2 linked regions of the Cricetulus griseus genome follow. The protein of the gene in region 1 interacts with the protein of each later gene in a biochemical or structural test. Links are inferred from orthologs where the notes say so. Each region holds a gene or a part of one and is shown on either strand. Other genes may lie near its edges.

Region 1 (3,130 bases):
TTTGGGCCTTTACTTTGTTCTCTGAATTTTACTTTGTTGGGAATAAGTCATCCATCATTTTATGAGCCTGTCATTTGAATTAAATAGCATTTTCTGGTTTGCTTCATGTTTATGGAGACAAGTGACCAGGCCTTGTACCTGGGCTTGTCAGTAAAGCTGTCCTAGCATAAAGGGGCTGAGCATAGGTCACAGAGGGCTTGGCTTAGCCGAGGCATCAGGTCACAGCACCTTGCTTCCTCCTAACAGGTTTGTCCCATATGTGCCTCGATGCCCTGGGGTGACCCCAGCTACCGCAGCGCCAACTTCATGGAGCATATCCAACGCCGCCACCGCTTTTCCTATGACACTTTTGTGGTGAGTCTGGACCCGCCCCAGAGGGGTAGCACTGATGCTCAATTTTCTGGGGGTGAGGGCAGCCTGGGCTTGAAGAACTCTGGTCCCAGAGGGAAGCTGCACAGTGTCTGTTCATGGTGGGTGGGTCTCACTTGGGCTAGACTGTTAGGTGATTCCTGTCTCCATTGTAGAGTACTGGGATTACAAGTGCGCACCTCAACATGGGTGATGGAAATCTGAACTAGGGTTCTTGTGCTTGACCTCGCAGGCATTTTACCAATTGAGTCATCTCTGTAGCCCCAGGAATAACTTTAATTTTTTATATTTATTTTATGCATGTTTGCCTGAATGTATCTGTGTATACCACATTTGTGCACTGCCTGCAGAAGCCAGAAAGTGTCCTATCCTCTGGGACTGGAATTAATGGTGGTTGTGATCCATCATGGGTGATGGAAATTGAACCTGTGTCCTCTGGAAAAGCAATCAGTGCTCTTAACCACCAAGCTGTCTCTCCAGCCCCAAGCTATTAATTTTTATTTAATGATGATACAACAGAGACACTAAGCTGAAGTAATTTTCCCAGTTACACAGCATCTAAACAGTGACCTGGGGCCCTTAGCAGCCTTCTCCAGACAGTCTTGCTAGGCTCCTGCTGAAGGTGAATCTTCTGGGTGTGAACCGTCACTTAGGCTGGTGTCTTCTGCCCTCAGGACTATGATGTTGATGAAGATGACATGATAAACCAGGTGTTGCAACGATCCATCATCGACCAGTGAGCAGGGTCCTCACTGTCCACCTCATTCTAGAGCTTCCATTACGCATTAGGTGTGAGCCCTTGACTCCTGTACCTCACATGTAATGCAGATCTGTAAATGAGCCATGGCACCAGACAGGGTCACTTCTCCCAGGGCCTAGGGCAGAGCCCTGTTTCCTTTGGGCTCTTGTTGACATTGTCTTCCTGGCTGATAACCTTGTTTGTCCCATGGTCCGCTCTCGTCACACCTTAGCTACTGCCTCCTTTAAAAAGAAGAGTCCAGCTTCTGTTCCCACGTGTTCTTGTTTCATGTTCATCCTACTGTCCAGTGTTCGTCTCTTAGGTCCTCCTACTCAGCCAGCCCCTTCCCCGGGGCCATGAATAGCACAATTAAACAGGGACTCCTTTCCCTGGCCCTGAGGTACCTGGGTTCTGGGTTCTGCTGTATACCAGGCCAGGCTGCGCTCCCCTTTTCTTCCTGGATGATGACCTTGGGGTTTCAAAAACTGATCCTGTTTTGGTTTCTGCTGTTTCCCTACATCTCCTGCACATCCATAGAACTGATGGCTTCTGTCTTAAATGCCTGACAGTGCCTTTTTAGGATAAGGTATCACCATAGAAATAGAATGGAAGTGTCGGATAGCAAAGCTGGGGTACACTCGTCTGTAAGTGGGGAGAAAGTGGTGTGTGGGTTTTGGTTCTCTTTCACACTGAGTGTTCCCAGGTGGCTGGGTCATGTGCCCCTCTGTTGTGTATCTGCTGATACTCTTGCTCTGAAGAATGAAAGAGCCCTTGGGTGATGGAGGCACTGACTGTTGAACCTGCTGCTCGATAACCAACCTGAGCATTATTGCTGTCATACAGACCTCTGTGCCCAAGTGTATGTTTTAAAACCCTGCCTTTTGGTGCAAAGCCAGGGTCATACCCACTTGTCTCTTCAAAGCCCCTGTTGGGAAGTTAAAGTTAGGCCCCTGCCAAAGTTAAGAAAGGTGTTCTGCTGGAGGCTTTCTCGAGCAGCAGCTCTAAAAACTGCTAGTCCAGTACATTTTACAAAGTACAGTTGGGCACCACCAGGCAGCCAGCCAATCTGCAGAACAGACGCCCTGACAGACCTAGGGCTTTGGGAGTAAGTTGTCCTTCCTGTCGTGTGGCTCTGGTCCAGCTGAGACTGCATGCGATATTGTGCTTTTGACGCCGTACTTCTACTGTGGCTTCTGCCTGCTAGGGAAAAGCTAGCTCAGATGCAGCAGAGTCGGGCAGGGTCCCTTTCCACTTCACAGAACCCTCTGGAAAGGTTTGCTCAGGAGATATCGGGAGGGACTGAGAAGGACACAGCTGTACAACAGGAACCTCTTATCCTGCATCACATCCACTATTTCTAATGTAACAGCTTTCCAGAAAGTTTGGTGGTTATGTTCTGGCTTTTAAAAGGTGAACTTAAATAAATTTCATAATTTATCCAACCAGCAATCTGTGGTGTGTTTTCATTAAATAGCTTTTTCTCGGGTCTGGGCCTGTCAGCCTCCGGAAGGTTGTTACTCAAGGGAACATTCTTGTCTGTCCCCAAGTCAGCCTGGCTTCTAGTCAGTCTGAGGCTTCAGCAGCTGGGCCTGTCTTTTCTGAAAAAGAGTAGAAATATCCCCCCTCTCTGAGTGGGGAGTTCACAGCAGGCCAGGCTCTAGACCTGCCACTGCAGTGACTTAGGTGTGACAGTTAAGGGGTTCCAAGGGCTCAGACTTGGGTCCTTGTGTATGTGTGTGCACTGTGCCAGTGCCTGACCCCTTGTGAACTGGGGTCATAGTATGTAATGAGCCATCTAAAGGAGTGTGCAGAAGGTGCATTGGATGCTGCCTGGAATCCTCTGTGGGCTTTGTTCCCATCCTAGTCCCATAGGGACCTGAAAATGACCCAGAGGTCAGCACATCCATCTCTACCCTGTCCTACCTACTTTGAGAAGAAACACTACCCCAGGTGGCTGAAAATGGCTCATTGCAACATTAAGTGCCACACTGCATTCCAGTTGAATCTTGAACTCCAGAGTTT
Region 2 (3,653 bases), on another chromosome or scaffold:
AAATTTGCCTAAAGAAAACATTGGGAAAGAATGAGAAGCAGAGGTTTTCTGTTTCGGGTGTGGGTTTTTTTCTTTTTCTTTTTTCTTTTTTTTTTTTGTTCTGTTTTGGTTTAGGTAAGTTTTCGTGTGTGTGTGTGTGTGTGTGTGTGTGTGTGTGTGTGTGTGTGTGTTGGGTATTTTTTTTTTTGTGTGTGTGGTTTTGTTCTTGCTTTTGTTTGCTTGCTTTCTGACTTTGTTTTGCCTTCTTTTGTTGAGGGGGCTGCAACAGAGATGAGGGGGGAATATGAAGTATGAAGGGACTGGGAGGTGAACAGAATTGGGGCACATGATGTGAAACTCTCAAAGAGTCAATAAAGAAGAAAGAAAACCTCGAAACATAGCAAAACTAAACAAAGTAAAACAACAAACATTCGAACCTTTGATAACTGTGCTGTGCAAACTTGACCTAGAATCTGCTCTTTCACACCTTGCTTTTGGTAGTATGAACTGGCCACTGGCACAATTAGAAAATGGGAGAGTGCTACTCACCATGTGGGAGACATATTTATTTTCTGGAATCATTTGTTTGCAGTAATCACAACGGGTTTTCCTTTCAGGAGATACATTTCTCTTCCCTGAGTAGATGCAGATACGCCACAAATGACTGTTTTGACGGTGGCTACCCTCCTCCTCCCATGCTCTCATGGCCTGTACTCACGAGAATACCATTCCTAGACTAGCTTGGTCTTGTCCCCACACTGCCAGTAGCCACTCTGGAGAGGACTGGCTGGCCAGCCATTTTTCTCACAGTGACACTGATGAAGAGTCCCTTTCCTGGAGCAGAACTGGTTTTTAAGCAATTGAAAGGGGCTATGTACATAACTGCCCCAAAGGGACACTAGCCCATTCCAGCAAGTGGCTCTGGCAGGCCTTGCCCCTCCCATCCCCTTGCCTTACTAAAAACCATTAGATTACACTCTTAAAGCTAGCCACCAAGGGCTGTTCCCTCACTTGGCCACTTCCTCCTCCCGAGGCCGTACCATCAAAGTCTAGCTAACAAAGTATTGAAGTTCAGCCATCAAAAATCCCTTTGACTCACCCAATTAACAGGCCCAATTAAAATTAAACACCTCATGCTACCAGAGGCTTTCCCCTTTTACCTTTATAAAACACCATTTTCCTAGGGGCCTGTTTCCTCTCTACCCAGAGGCAGTCCTTTGTCCCTCTGGGACAAATACCCTTGCTCTCTTTCCCCTGTTCCCTTCCCCTTCTCCCTTGTCCTCTATCTCCTGTCATTTCCTCTTATTCCCTGACCTCTGTCCTTCCGAGGCAAACAAATCTCCTTTGTGCTGAGAACAAGGTCTCTGGGTCCTGAACCGATACATTTCCTTTCACACCCAGACTGCCAATTGAGCTCAGGTTTTGTGAGCTCTGTGATCCAACCAGGCGTTGGTTGTAACATCACTGTGCTAAAGTTGTGTTGTATTGAGCATGTCACTGAACTTGGGTTGGAGACTGTTAGTTGGGTGGGAGACCAGGCACAATGGGATGAAGGAAAAGTACACATACTTCCTGGCTTTCCATTGGCCACTTTTGATCTTGGGTAGAGCGTTGACCTGTGGGACTTACTAAGGGGTTCCACAGTTTCTCCACATGTTATCACATTGTCCAAACAACCAAGTCAACAAAAGATGTGAAACATGGGCAACTAACTATGTTCTTGGCAAAGGCTCCTATAAAGAGGCCAGTGGTAGAGCACTTGTCTAGCATGTATGAGGCTCTAGGTTCAAATCCCCAGCACTGGAACTGCAGAGAGAGGTGGGGGTAGAATATGAAGTGATACTAGAAGCTGATAAAAGACGCTACAGCCTGGAGCTATAGCAGCCTCCCGTCGGGCCATTGCTAATCCCTATGGTTTGGATGTGAACACCCTACCCTCTTAGTGAGCTCATGTGTTTGAACACTTGGTTCTTAGCTACTAATGCTGTTTTGGCACCTTTATGAGGTAGAGGCTCACTGGAAGAAGTGGGTGCTGGGTTCAGGCTTTGAGGTTTCTTAGCCTAGCTCCACATCTTGTGCTTTCTGTTTCCCACTCTGGGTTCAGACTGACCAGTGCAGTGCCTCGTGCTCCCGAGGTCATGCCTTCCCCAGCACAACAAGACTGTTATCTTTCAAACTGTAAGGCACAGCAAACCCTTTCTCCCTTACAATGCTTCTGCTTCTCACCATTGTTTATTTATCACAGAATGGGAAAAACAGGCCATACACTCCAGTGGAAAAGAAGGATCGAGGCTTAGCGCTAGAAGCTGGAGTGTCCCTCCATCTTATTGTTCTCTGAGGTTTGTGAGGCGTGCTTTTCATCTAGAGGATGATTCAGGTGTAGCCTTACCAGGCCAAGATTATGTCTTTGGCTTGTAAATAAAAGCCCTTCATATTTATGATTCCCATGGCTTTCTCTCCCTCTTCTCTGTGGCTCTTACACCCCATCCCTGGCCTCTTGTTTTTCCTGGGTAAGTCACTGAAAGGCAAAGCAGACACACAAGAAGGCTACTCCAGTGCCATACTCCAGTATGGAAATGTACAGAATGACACTCTTCTATCCTGTGCTGTTAAGGGTTCCTGTCCTTGCATCCTTCCTGCCCAGGAGACTGGCTCTGGAAACTGTCCTCCCCCTTTCCAGCTTCTCCCTGATGCTCACCTTCCTCATGCTTGGCCTTTGCCCTCAGACACACAATTTTATGCTGGGCCAACATTCGGAGTGTGATGGGCTGGTTGCAGTGTGGACAGCGCTCTGTCCGGAGGCCACAGTGGGGCTCATGGGCATCCAGTTTGCCGAAGTGCACAGCCAGATCACAGAACTTGCACCTGGCAGGGTGCTGTTGGATTTCCTTGGTCTGTGGAAAGATGGAGGACATGGGCCTAACTCCCTAGGAAACTGAAGCCAATCAGAGAGAGTGCTGGCAAGGGTCAGAAGCAGACATTGTCCTTGGGGATCATGAGTTCTTTTAGATTCACTGTTCTAGTTTGCTTTCTGTTGTGATAAATAAACATCACGACCAAAAAGCAACCTGGGGAGCAAAGGGTTCATTTCATTTTACATTTCCACATCATAGGCTCTCATTGAGGGGAGTCAGGACAGGAACTCGATCATGGCAGGAACCTGGAGGCAGGAATTAAAGCAGAGACCATGAAGGAGTGCTGCTTAGTGGCTTGCTTTCTTTACAACCCAGGACCACCTGCCAAGGAGTGGTACTGCCCACAGTGGCCTGGATCTCCCACATCAATCATTAATCAGGAAAACGCTTGTAGAGACACCCTCAGATCAGTATGATGGAATTCTTCAATTGAGATTGTCTTCTCAGGTGACCAGAGCCTACGTCAAGTGGACAAAAATGAACCAGCACACTCATGGATCATGGAGATCTCCATATCAAGCACGTATGTGGGGCAGAGGAATCTGCATGTCTGAGTGGGATGGTTCTCCACAGTTCTCCTAGCCACTCACGTGGAGGGGTAGTGGTCAGGGGGGAATCTTTATGACTGGCCTCTCCTCCCCTCTCTGCCTCTTTCTCTCAGGTTAGCTTGCTTGCCTCTAGAGGAGAAATCCAACTTCAGCAAGGGAGGGCTTGCACATGCTGATGGCATTGTGCAGACTACCCAAACTGTGCTGACTG

The links.
Region 2: the proteins of Rnf114 (region 1) and Xaf1 form a complex in vitro, tested with the Homo sapiens proteins (2 studies listed by BioGRID). The link is inferred for Cricetulus griseus from reciprocal best matches to the Homo sapiens genes RNF114 and XAF1.

The regions. Positions count from the first base shown.
Region 1 is NC_048599.1:11,896,704-11,899,833, reverse strand, and holds the end of Rnf114 (E3 ubiquitin-protein ligase RNF114), read left to right. Parts: intron 1-246; coding exon 247-354; intron 355-1,043; coding exon 1,044-1,109; 3' UTR 1,110-2,557; downstream 2,558-3,130. UniProt on the Homo sapiens protein: E3 ubiquitin-protein ligase that promotes the ubiquitination of various substrates. In turn, participates in the regulation of many biological processes including cell cycle, apoptosis, osteoclastogenesis as well as innate or adaptive immunity.
Region 2 is NC_048600.1:86,144,978-86,148,630, reverse strand, and holds part of Xaf1 (XIAP-associated factor 1), read right to left. Parts: intron 2,874-3,653; coding exon 2,678-2,873; intron 615-2,677; coding exon 529-614; intron 1-528. UniProt on the Homo sapiens protein: Seems to function as a negative regulator of members of the IAP (inhibitor of apoptosis protein) family. Inhibits anti-caspase activity of BIRC4. Induces cleavage and inactivation of BIRC4 independent of caspase activation.